Linked DNA regions of Caenorhabditis elegans. The protein of the gene in region 1 interacts with the protein of each later gene in a pairwise test. Each region holds a gene or a part of one and is shown on either strand. Other genes may lie near its edges.

Evidence for each region. The genes of interacting proteins can lie anywhere in the genome.
Region 2: the proteins of lim-8 (region 1) and F47G9.4 interact in a two-hybrid assay, tested with the Caenorhabditis elegans proteins (one large-scale study listed by BioGRID).

Annotation. Positions count from the first base shown.
Region 1 is NC_003281.10:6,800,600-6,806,458, forward strand, and holds the start of lim-8 (PDZ domain-containing protein), read left to right. Parts: upstream 1-2,188; 5' UTR 2,189-2,203; coding exon 2,204-2,227; intron 2,228-3,159; coding exon 3,160-3,212; intron 3,213-4,629; exon of another isoform or gene 4,630-4,834; intron 4,835-4,968; exon of another isoform or gene 4,969-5,041; intron 5,042-5,062; exon of another isoform or gene 5,063-5,092; coding exon 5,093-5,264; intron 5,265-5,311; coding exon 5,312-5,470; intron 5,471-5,859.
Region 2 is NC_003283.11:11,316,312-11,323,910, forward strand, and holds F47G9.4 (putative RING finger protein 207 homolog), read right to left. Parts: upstream 5,506-7,599; 5' UTR 5,401-5,505; coding exon 5,362-5,400; intron 5,314-5,361; coding exon 5,119-5,313; intron 4,980-5,118; coding exon 4,440-4,979; intron 2,957-4,439; coding exon 2,590-2,956; intron 2,538-2,589; coding exon 2,414-2,537; intron 2,369-2,413; coding exon 2,126-2,368; intron 2,079-2,125; coding exon 1,785-2,078; intron 1,679-1,784; coding exon 1,012-1,678; 3' UTR 902-1,011; downstream 1-901. Other genes in the region: cutl-18 (CUTiclin-Like), read right to left, coding at 1-283, 386-569; str-141 (Serpentine receptor class r-10), read right to left, coding at 6,011-6,090, 6,138-6,315, 6,364-6,492, 6,584-6,725, 6,820-6,954, 7,002-7,080, 7,176-7,257, 7,330-7,509.

The DNA of each region.
Region 1 (5,859 bases):
GGCAAATATTTATGAAAATTTAGAGAGGGTAAGCATGATTTCCCTTAGCCAGACCTCTCTTTGGCCTCAGCCGAAGGTTTTTCTCTCGTTTTTAAAAAAAAAGAAATATCAACCAGTGTCAAGGAACGGCTACTGACGATTATTTTTCATATCACTTTACTAAACCAAAACCTATTCATTAAACCATCACATAACATTTATTAGCTTACCTGGTAAGAAACGGATTTTTTAGACACTCAGTCTTCTAGGCAAATCCATAGGCTCACTCCCCAAGCCTTATGAGGGATTTTGGCTCCAAAATTGCCTAAGGCACATATGACTCTCGATGACGGATGTCTTCCATTAGATGTCTAAATGCCGTGAAACAGCTGTTCCTCAATATTTGACCATGGTCCGGGAGATTTCCGTGGCGCAGAAATAATTGGCAGATCGTTATTCCGCCAATGCAAATGACTGTATTATGGATTCTTGTGGATGCAGGAGTGTCTTCTTCACCTTCTCCCAGGACACAGCAGGACACCTGTTTCGGGCAATCAACACCGACCTGGTCGCCATTTGCATAATGTGTTTTCTTGAGGAGAAGAAAAAGAAAAAGGAAAAGAGTAAGAAGGATGGATACCTAGTTGTCGGAACGAAGACATATGCGTGTCGTTATGAAGAAACCACAGTTGAAAAAGAATGAAGGATTAGACGTCTGACGACGACACCGTTCCGCCACCTTGTTTCTTCTTCTGATCCTTCGTGTAATATTACTGCATTTTTGGCTTTTTCCTATTCTTTTGCGTTCATTTTTCTCATTTACATATCTACATGTCAAAGTGAAAAAAAAAGCTATTCCCTACAGTAATCGTACGTTCTGATAGGTCATTGGAGAATATGTTCCAGGAGTTCTAATCATAAAACAATTGTTCGTTGGGTTCAATACTTCAAAAACATCAATCAAATCAGGCGCTATTTTAACAAGTTCAGATCTAGACACGTTTCAGTATACTTCTCTTAAAACTAAAAAACTTTGTTTTCATTCCACAAATGTCCATCCTTGCCTACCAAATTGAAGTCAATCTACCATATTAAAATAATTTAAAAACATGAATTTATTGGGCCACTGCAGAAATGTAATCCATTAATGGGTCTACCCTACATTCTACCATGTTGTTTCTTTTTAGAGAGGAATTTTTAAGATGGAAATATTATGAGAATCAACTATTTTTGGAGATGAACTGCTTGTTTTTCATTATTTCAGAATTCATGGCTTCTTATGGCGCTGTGATACTGTTGTTATATAATTATATTCGGTTTTTTTTATTCTCAATGTCTTCTATTTCCCTTTAAAAGCTTCTCCGAACTTCAGATTTATATTCTTTGCCCTTATTTCCCTGTCCAAGTTTCAATTTCCCTGGCTTCTGCCGCTTTTAGACTATCTCCAAATCACCACCATCTGATAACTGATCCATAATATCTTTTGACCGACATTCCTTTTCATCTCTTCAATATTACCGACTTTTGTGTATATTTTATGATAGAGCGTACGAGACGAAGAGACGCAGACATTAATTTTATGCTTTTCTTGTGGATACGCAGAAATAAGAAGAAATAAATTTGAATATTGTTCCGAAAGGATCTGACCACTTTCTCTTCAGATTCACTCTCGTTCTCTGATTATCAAATTATCGTGTCAAATTCATTTCAATTCTGGTTTCTCCCGAAATTTTCAAAACCGATTTTATTGAATTTTATTTTCCTTAATTTATGCTTTCCGTAGTGACATTAATTTGAGAATTTTTGGATGTGGATTTCTTTACCGCTTTTGAACATACTTTTTTACAGTTTGTTTTAATTCTCGGTACCTTTTTTATTAATTGAACATTTGGATAACAAAGTTATGGACCATTGTAATAGGTTCCGTTCTTCTCAAAATCTCAAGTCTTGGTGTCAATTTTCTGTAAATGTGTGGTCGATTTCTATTTTTCTTCCTCTCTGAAGAAATGTAAACTGTCATCAAATTTCCCACAAGTTAAACGCTATTTCTGTTTGCTCAGAGGTCTTTTTCTATTTTTGTTACTCGTGTTTGTGTTCTATTTGAATTTCAGATAATCTATTTTGATTCTCTGGAAAAAACATTGATTACTTTTTTTGATGTTCTTCTTGTAACTTGACTTTTTTATTGTTTCATTTCAATTATTTGCAGAAAGTCGTAAAGATGATGGAGAATGATTACGCAGTGAAGGTACTTTCAAAGTGTTTGAATTTTTCATTGTATATTTATTAACATTTTGTGGCTAATTCATTTTCAAAATAGTTCAACGTATTCCTGTGTTTTCTAGTTATTCTAGCTTTGCATTTTTGCTGGGCAAAAGTTTGTAAAAAACAGTTAAAGCTCTGAAAACATTTTTTAGTACAGAAAAGTTAATTAAAACTCACTGTTAGATTGAGAAGGGGTTATTGGAAAATTATTTTGGAAATTAACATATTTTATTTGGCACACTGAAAAAAAATAAAAATTTAGAAATTATAAAAAGGAAGAATCAAAACTGTCCAATGTCCCATATCATCCTAGTTTTCTTGCACGCAAACCAAAACCTCAAAAATGCCCAAGAATGTTGGGCATATTAATATTTACATTTCAAGAGGGCTCACATACTCACCCCTTTTAACACACAGTCTTCACACAAAAACTAACTGATAACAGGAGACTTTTTTGTGTTTGATTGGTATTATGATCGATTTTTATCATAAATGATATGTTAAAGTGTTCCTTTTCTGTGATATGATTCATTTCTGAAATGAGTAGGATGGAAGAGAAATGAATAAAAAAGTTGAAATTTTTGAATCAAAAGTTGCGTTTATAATCAAACTACGTTCCTTTTTCAGTTAAGCATTTAGTTATTTTAAAGTTTATCATCATTTTTTAATCAAGATGATGATAACATAATACTCGTAAAACATGTTTTAAAGTTTTATCTTTTAAGTTGTAAAAAATACGTTATTAATCGCCCACTTTCACCTCTAATACTCGAAAATGATATTTTAAGTGATTAACTTCATTATGTACTTTATCGTGTTTACCTAACTTATGTCTGCCACAATAACCTTGTCGTTTCTACTTACTTTTTGTATTTATTTTTCATAAATTCAGAATAATTTCAATACATTTTTCAGGTGGCCAAGTATCCACCAAATCTTGGATCTGATTATCCTGAAGACGAATTTGGGTGAGTTTTACTTTCACCACAATAATTTTTTTGTCATTTATGATCATGTAAATCGTTCATTTAATTATGAGTGACAAGATTAATTAGGTGAATTATTTGAATTTTCAATGTCATTATAAAAGTTCTAAGGGTAGATGTAATATAAGAAAGCGGCAAAGTATGCAAATAGGTTTTAATATTCTGAAAATCAGGTTTCTTAGTCTGTTTTTTTCTCATTCTCTTTGAGATTCTTTTTCATTAACCATAGCATATTCCTCAAAATTTCTGTATTGTAGCGTTAACTACCCATTTCAATTAAGAAATTCAACAAAAGCTTTGCAGTAACAACGCATATAGGCAAAATAGGACATTTCTCCGTGGCTGGGCTGGGCCTACTACATTGAAACGTTAAAAATATATTTTGGATCATGTTCAGACATTTATAATTTAAGTTTTTATTCGAAAAAACAGTATCAAGATTCTTTGAAACGGATTTTATTTTTATTAAAACAAAAACAATAGTCATATATTCTAGACCAGTTCATTTGGGCGTGGACTTCCTTTGCAGTTTTACAAAAAATCTTTTCTTATATATTCACTAGAAAATGTTCTAGTTAGACTGTTCATTTTTCATTCCTTTTGTCTTTGAGCGTTTGCCGGTACGTGTAAACCGTTAGCCTTTCCAAAAAACCAAGCGTCGGAGCAAAAAAGGAGGGTACTCAAAGCTCTCTGTACTTACCATGCAAGCGCGAAAATTGGCGATTACGCACTCTCTTGATATTGTAGCATATTCTCAGTCTCTTCATTATTTTCTTATGTCTCGGAAAAAGAACGTAGTGACCATCTCTAACTGTGTCTCGTTTCGCCAATGGAGAGAAAATAAACAAATGAATGAGAGCATGTGAGCCGCCAATAAATGACCGGATATATGAGAGTGAGAGAAGATATTCGGCATGATTTTTGAGTCAAGGGCACTGTTACGGTTTTTCTTTTTGTTGATCAACCCTTTTTTAGTCTTATGAACTCTTTGAGCAAGTTTCTACAAGTTTCTACTTTTTCTGTATATTTCAGTCTCAATGTGGAAATGATGTTTCACAGCAACCCAACAGTTCCCAGGTTCCTCTACTAGATTAATTTAACTGTGTTTTCGATGAAAAATAACATAACCCAGTAGATATCGGATACTGCGAAAATTACCATGTGTCTTAAAATAAGTTTTACCGGGTTCCGGTAGTAGCTGCTCTCAACTCTCTGAACACTTCTCCCTGAGACGCTATCTATAGATCGCGAAACTATTTTTAAGACTGAATTACCTATTGAACTTTACGATAGTTTTCCAAAATGTACTATGTTTTTTTTTAATAAGCTCACAGTTATCCCGAATTCTATTCTCTCTGATAACTTTATATTCCTCTTGAAACCCAGATTTTCTTCACCGCAAAAGGTTTCTGGTCTCTGAAATTAGCTATTGGTAAGGCAAAAGGGACGCGAAAGCTGGAAAGAAACATCAATTACCAAAAGAGACACTTGTTTTTCGCTTTTTTCTGTGTTTTGACTTCTGACGCCTTCACATCAGATGTCCCATGTCAGAAGCTTTTCCTTTCATTTTTCTTAAAATTTATTCGATTTCTAAAAAATAATCTAGCGTTTAGGTTTGAAGTTAATAGCGGTCTCTCTCATTGTAAACTCGATCAGTGTATTAACTATTGCACATACCCTATCTGCGTCTCTATTCTAACTACAGCGAATATAGGCCTCTTTGACCTGAACTTTCCGTGCTTCCGTGGCGCAATAGGCAGCGCGTTCGGCTGTTAACCGAAAGGTTGGTGGTTCGAGCCCACCCGGGAGCGAAACTTTTTGGCTTCATAAAATTATATTTTCTTAGTAAATGAAATTTGCAGACCCGGAGCAAAAATGCTACGAGGACCGGGACAGAAATCCTCGGATCCTTTCCAATTCGTCGCCGTCAACAAAGGCGGCGACGAAATGGCTGAATCTGCGAAAAGCACACTACAAATGGCTCAACAACAGAAAGCTCAACGAGAAAAAATGTTACAAGGACAGAAACAGACGGTACGTGAGTTACCGAAGAGCCACATCCTAATTTAAACATTTTTAAGCTAAAGTTCGACGACTGTGAACCGTGGCAAGAAAATTTGGATACTTGGCGGAAGAAGAGAAAGGAAAAATTTGGAGATCGAGCCACATCGGATACTACTGTACCGGAGACTACAATTCACCGAAGAAGCGAGGAATACACTTCATATCAACCTAGAAAGGTACAGTAAGGGTTTCAACTAGGGATTTAAATGATAGTTGAGAAGCGACGGCTTACACAAAGCTCTAACGGTGCTCACATTTTGCAATGCTGAGAAATGTTGACAAAGTTTTGAAACTTCAAGTGATCCCGTCCTAATCATGTTGTTCCTTGAAAAAAACATCTGAAATCATTAAAAAAAAAGAAAATATTTATGGAACTCACACGTGTAGTCGCAAACCTATTAACCACAAAATTTAAAAAATCGTACACACATATTTGATGTTGTCAAACTGTGTGCTCATTGCGCAAAGCGTCTTCTCCATGGGTAGTAGTTTGTTTGTTTTAACCTCGAAAATAACTAAAAGTTTGACAAGTCTCGATGTCTGAGCTCTCTTCATCAACCACACT
Region 2 (7,599 bases), on another chromosome or scaffold:
GACGCGGAGTTCAAAAGACAATCTTTACTGTCTCGGTAGAACATTGCAGATAGGCATGGGAATCTTTTCTCCTGTGCACAAAGACTTAAACACTCTAATTTTGTCTCAGCTTTAAGAACTGATTGGCTCTTATCAACAAGTATTCTGTCGTCCCATTCTTTGACAAGAAGCCTGTGAGGAGCCTTTTTCACGCATTTCTTCTCAATGTAATTTCGCTCTTCGATTCTTCCAAAATAGTTTGATTTGTCGATTACAATGCATTTGTCTCCTTGGAATAAAACTCCTAAAATTTTTGGAATATTTTATAATAACAGATTACAAATTGCTCCTTGAAATTAAAATAAATAAATAAATGAGGGAATTAAAAACAATTTGATAGGCGTACCTGTACAATTCCCAAGAGCACATGAATTGAAACATGCCGTTGCTGATGCGGGTAGTTTTGCATCTCCGTTGACAAAAAATGCTACGGTATCCTTGCCTTGACATCCATTCACGGAATAAATGCAGGATAGTAGGGAAATGGAAATTAGCGGAAACGAAGAGAGAAAGTACGTTCGCAATATCATGGAAAAGATTTGAAATGAATCATAAGTTTGAAACCAGTGAAGGATAGTGTTCCGGAGAATGAAATGCCACGCCCACTTCTTTATTGTGACCCACAATCCAACATCTTGTTTTACTATACAAATATTAGCCTTTTATCTTTCAGGTAGTCATATTTACGACGACAACGAAGAATGAATTACATTCGACGAAGATTCGGCTCACTGATTTTTATGGAAAGATTTTGAAGTCTAAAATGCTTCTGATGTAAACAATATCACAGTTTCATGTTACAATTTCGAAAATAGCGGATACTTTCCATTTTATGCAAATGTGCAGTAGTGCAGGTCAGAACAATACAATATAAACTTTATTAAGATTATTAATTAACCGGTTTCTGTATATATGACCTATAAATATAACTCGAATCGTACATAATAATATGTTATCACTGATTATCATTCTCTATTCCGTTTTCTGATTCATTTTCTGTTTCAAACTCTGTAATACTCGTTCTTTTGCTTCAAAAGTTCCTAGTTTTTCATCTGATTCAAATATCTCCTGAGGGACAAATGGACAATCTGGCGGTGCATTAAATGTGAATGTTGTGACCTCTTCTTCTGATGGTTCAGATACTTTTTTGACTCTTCTTCTGATTACTTTCTTCTTTTCTTTTTCCGTTTCTTTCTCAATTTCTTCCTTTTCAATCACTTCGTCCTTATCCGAATTCGTCGGCAAACCTGCTCCACTTTTTCTTTTTTCCGCATTCCTGACTGCCGAGGCCAAGACGTTACGCTCTTCGGACACACTAATATTCTCGGGTGTTGGAGGTTTTTGTAATGCGAATACATCGTTCAAACTTTGCAACATCGCTCCACGACTGAATCCAATATTAGAGGTAACTCGAGATGCCAGTGGGATTCTTCCAAGAAGCTGTTCAAGGGATGGAAGAGGTGAAATGGAATCACTTGAAATTTCCATAGATAATAAAAGTGCTGAACTGCATCGATCTTCCTCGGTTAGTGTCCCATCAACTACTTCATCATATTGTTCTCCACTGAGCTCGAAGATTTCGTCGAGAAACTCCTCGGCGTCAAGTTCGGAAGCGGTTTCTTCTTTGAGAGCTGTTGTTCTGAAAAGTGGTGTTTTTTGTTGAAAAAAAAACCGAAATGAAAAAGAAAAACTGATGTTTTTCTGAAAGTTTGACATTTCACAACTAAATTTTCGAAAATACTCACAATCTTCTTATACATGGGCTCGTCAATGCAGTATCAGTTCCACCGGGACTTCTTTCTCTATTTGTATTCAACATCATCCTGTTCATCTCCTTTCTTTTAATTTTTCCATGCTTCAGAGTTTTCATCACTGCACTTTGACCAGCCAGCTCTTCTTTCTTCTTTGCTTCCTGATTTAATCTTCTATTCTCTTCTTCTTTTTCAATTGCCAGAATTCGGTTTTGACTGTTTGGCTCAATTCCTGTAATTTCCAAACAAATACTCTCCATTGGAGCTGGATCGGGTGGATGACAACGTCTGAAAAATACTTATTGATTTTAGTGAAAACGTATGAATATCCATACTTCGGATCAATCATTGCGTTCATATTTAAGATGCATGATACATAGGGTACCAACTGTTTGGCTGCTGTCAGAATCTGTCTAGCTGTTTCCCGTAGGTTCAAAATCTCCTCCACTTTTTCTCGATAAATGATTTGTTGTCGCCGTACTCGGTCCAATTGTTCCTGCCAAATCTCTTGCATCTCACTTTGCATTCCATCAAGTGCTGCCGAATGCATTCCAAGACCAGCCTCTATTTTTTTGCACCTACAAATTACATAAGCAATTGAAGTTTTTATTATTGCCACCTACGTTTTGACAAGTTTCTCAACATCCTCTTTTTCTATAATACACCTTCGAATGGTCAAATCTCGTTGAGTCTCAAGAACTTGTTGACTAGTCGAAGACAATGCAGTGACCAACTGTCGCAATGGGTCTAAAATGTTTAAACTCAGCAAAAAACAAAACAAAGATAAACTATCACTCACGTTCAACTTTGCCAAAGAGTTCTCCAAAAGCTCCTGCTAGATCAATTGTTGCCTGGAACTTGGATAGCATTGAAATTGCCTTATGAGATCCTGAGCCACGTTTGTACGAATTTGACGAACTTCCTTCTCGAGACACACTAATTGGACACCAAGCAGCAGACATTCCCAGGAATGGCTCAAGAGCTTTTGCCAAATCAGAACGAACTTCTATACTGTCAGGAGTGGAAGATACCGGAAGTTTGTCAATAGTTTTGTCGAGTAAAACACCAATTCTCTTTTGAAGTTGAGGACAAAGTTGAAGAACATCTAATTTGGATGCAGTTGTGCATAGAATTTGTGCAGAAAACAGACATAGACGAACAGGACCCTGAAGTTTTAAAATATTTTCCAGCTTATTGGACCAAATTGGACTAAACCGGACATCCAAAGTCATGGTTTTGGATTGTCTCTGTGTTTTTCGGTGTTTCGGTGGTTTTTCAAAATTTTTTAAAACTGAGTTTATTTTTTCTAGTCTTTTCAAGTAACTGAACACTAAATTTTTCGAAATCCACAGATAATGAAACGCAGAATAATAATATCAGGTTGTCCCATAAGTTTTTGTACTATTTTTTTTTTGAAAAAAATTTATTTCTCTCAAGCGACAAGTAGTACTATTCACACAAGTATTCACCATTAGTGTCCACCACTTGTTGCCATTTACTAGGTAACATCATGATGCCACGGGAGAAGAAATCCGGCGAACGCGATGAGAAGAAAGTGGAGAGTTCAGTTTTGAGATGCTCTTCGTCGTCGAATTGCTTGTCGCGCATGTAGTCACTGAGAGACAAGAACAAATGGTAGTCGGTTGGTGCAAGATCTGGAGAATATGGTGGATGCGGTAAAACAGTCCAACCAAGATCTTGCAGCTTTTGGAAAGTCTTCTTGGCGACATGAGGCCTAGCATTATCGTGAAGAAAATATAGTTTTTCATATTTTCCGTTGGTCTTTTCTGCAACTCGGTCCAATTGGGCACAATAGTAATCAGCAGTGATAGTTTTATTAGTTGGCAACAATTCCCAGTGCACGGGTCCTTGAACACCCCACCAGACACAGATCATAATCTTTTTTGGGTGAAGATCAGGCTTTGGCGTCGGTATTCCTTTCTCACCGATCGGAAGCCATTGACGTTTTCTGGAATGGTTAACATAGAGCACCCACTTCTCATCTCCAGTAACCAGATTGTTCAGCCAATCGAACTTTCGACGAAAAGTTAGAAGTTGAGTACAAACGTTGACCCGAGTGAGCTTCTGTGATGCCGAAAGTTCATGAGGCACCCAAATTCCAAGTTTTGAAGTAAAACCAAGGCGACCCAAGTGACGTGCAATTGTGCTATGACAACACTCAAGCTTCTCTTCCATTTCACGAAGACTAAGACGAGGCTCTTCCTCCACCAGCTTCACTAGGTCTTCTTCATTTAACTCTACCGGTCGCCCAGAACGTTCTATTTCTTCGAGACTGAAGTCGCCGTTCTTGAACTTTTGAAACCAACTCTTTGCTGTATTATAAGAGAGTGCTCCCTCACCCATCGCACCGCATATGTTTCGTTCCGCTTCCATTGCTGAATGACCAAGACGAAATTCATAAAGAAGAAGCAATCTAACGTCTCGACGTTCAAGTTTGATGATTGTCATCGTGGCAAAGTAGAAATGGATGAAATGAATCTTTTCTGAAAGGGGACGACCCGACCTTGACACGACCTACGATGAAAAAATTTTAAAACTTTCTAGAAGTTTTGGAAAAATATTTGAAAAAAAGTACAAAAACTTATGGGACAACCTGATATTTTAAAATTAAATAAATTAATAACTCACCATAACTGCTTCGATTTCTTTAATTTGTCTTTTACATTGTTCATCACTTTGCTCCTGTTGTTTCACTAATTCTTTTGCCAATGTCTCCCTTGTTGTCATTACAGTATCAATAATTTGCTGGCATAATTGATACAAAGAAGCTCTCGCATCGTCAAAATTCGATGCATTCTCATCAAGAACTCGTTGTCTTACATTCAGTTCTTCTTGTCGCTCTGACTGATAAAATCGAAGTTTTGCCGCGGATTGCTCGATTCGCTCCAGACACAACCTATGCCCCTGCTCAATCGAAATGAAGCTGTGCCTTTCTTCAAGAGGTCTTCCATTAAAACATTGAATACATACAAGTTTTCGAACATCCGAACAATATAGGATATACGGCTCATTGTGGTCCTTACACAGTGAGGAACTGTAGACTTTACTTCGTTCATCGGAACTTATGATTTTGTGTGAGGAGAACATTCTGGCTTGATGAGTCACATTTCGACACACTAGACACAAAGATTGTTGACAAGTTTCACAGTAGAACATGGGAAGTGAGATCTGAAAGTATTTAAAGTTAAAAGAACAAGTAACAACTAAAACAAACAGGAGAAACTTATTTGAAAATTAGGATTTACAAGTTTTAAATTTTCAACTCCAAAATAATATGATATGTAGACAAACAATTGTAAATACCCACCTGCTCACAATTTGCACATTCTTCCATTTCTTCCTTTGAAGCATCTAGTAAAAAGGCAGCCAACTTGTCTGGATGTGGTGTATGGCTTCTTGATGTAGATGGTATTGGAGAACATGATTTGCAACTAGGTGATCCAGTTGAACATTTCCTACATGTTGTATGCTGACAACTGAGAAGTATTGGCTCTTCGAATTCCTTAATCGAAGTTACTTTTAGACATCAAGTAATCATAATTAAACTTACATTTTTACAAATCGTACATTGAAGAGGATTCTCCTCCATTTTATAATTAACTGAGGAGCACACAAAATAAAAAAAGAAAAAGAAACAGCAAGGTGAAATTACACTCAAAAAGATGGGGAAGTCGGCAAGGGAAAGTAGACTATAATTGAGAGAGTGCAGAGATTCAGAGACCACCCCACGGGAAGTTGCAGGCACCCGAGCACAAATCGATTGAAGCTTTAGCGACAATTGTTATATTTACGTTAGAACGAACGGAAACTTGTAACCACACTGTTCTTTGTTTACTTATCACTAAAGTTGGCAGTAGGTTTCTAACAAGTTGGTTTTTTGTGTTCATAGTTCTTTCGGGAAGGCTACAAGAGAAGTGAGAACTTTGATATTTAAAAAATTGTGATTACTTTCATTCGAGGGATAATTTTCTCATTTCAGAAAACTTGAAGCCAATGTTTTTTACAAGTTAGTAAGTTGTATTCCAAGTAACATTTTTATTAGATCGATCCTTAAAGTCTATTGAGATCAAGTATTATCATATTTTCAAAGAACCAGAATGAAAATATTCATATATGTATATAGTCATATGAACTTTATTTTTAAAAAAAAGTAGAGCATGCAAAAATAGTAGGAAACGTTATACTTAAAATATGATTGTTTATTTGATTGCCATCTGTGTTCCACTAGTACTGTACACACTTATGCCATTTGGACCAACACGAACTCTCCGGAAGAAATCTGAAATTTGTGATAATTCTCACGATAAGAATACTTATTAAACTTACTAGCTATAGTCTTTCTGAAGTCTTTTATACAATAAATTGCAATTAATGGTTCAATTGCAGGATACAAAGACATACTGGCACTGGGATAATTCACATACGCACCTAATCCCATATCAAAAAATGGGAGAACAATGAAAAGACCCACTGGGATGTACATTGTTATAAATGGGACAATAGTCTTAACATTTCAATATTTAAAATATATGTTATCATCTAGAAAACATACCTGGATTGATAACATTATATAAAGCTGCCTGTTCAATTCCAGAGTTCTTTTACTCATATGACCTTTTTCTTTTTGCATTTTTAGATAAATTCGTAACGCGAAGAAGCAAATTAAAGTTGTTAATGATCCCTAAATGTTTGTTACTTGATATTTCTATTTATACAAAGGCACAGAGCAGATGTATGAGTTGTGTTCTGGCAAAACTGGTATGGCAACTTACAATAATTCCAGTACAGACTAGTGCAGAGGCTGCATCTTTAAATCTCCAAACTTTCTCTCTATTTGGTCCATTGTTCCAGTACAACGGAGCAATAAAAGATATCATCATTGAATCTGATTCATACATATTTTTAAAATCATCTCTGAAATTAGGTGTCAGAACTGATTCATCACGTCTAGAGGCCACGTTTTCAAAAAGCTACTGAACTACTCATGGACGCTGAAATTATCACTAACTTCAAATAGATTCGTTTTTCCATAGTCGCAGACATTCCCCAAACGACAAGTTCAAACCAGAGAATGTATGTAATTACGCATGGAATGAAGATCAAAAATATTTTATATCCATCGAAATAAGATAACAGACTTTGTCTGAAAAGAGTTTCAATCAGAAATTTGTTGAATCTATTCAAGAAAACCTGCACAATGCAATGTATCTGTAGAAAAACTGTGCCGCAAATACAGAAATCAAAAATCCAAAGGTACCACAATGAAGACCTGTAAATTGTTGTTTTCACTTCAATAACCAAAAAAAGAGGGAAATTCATTTTTTGTTTAAGAGTTCTATGAAAAGTAAAATGTTTAAAACTAACAAGCAACTACATTTCCAATGCCTTGAGAAAAAACGTTATTATCAAGAAACACGACAAACATTGGACCTTTCATGTATAGTACCTGAAAGACGATTATTTGAAGTAACATTCTCAAAATTTCAATTTCAAGTTCCAATTTTCTATTGTATCGTACCGGCTGTGCAATTATCTCTACTGCAGAGTACAACATCGAACAAAATGTGAATACAAACATAACATGACGGTAACTACCAAACAGTTTTCCAGCTCTTTTCACAATTAATATTGCCAGAACAGTATTGAAGATTTGTGCTCCGAAAAAGCCGGCGTAGTGGAAAATATGTAGACCGATCATTGTTGTAAGTGAACTGGTGGAGAATGAAGTCTGAAGTTATTTCTGAAAGGATGACGTCTGAAAAAGACTTCTTGAAAAGTGATCTTATGT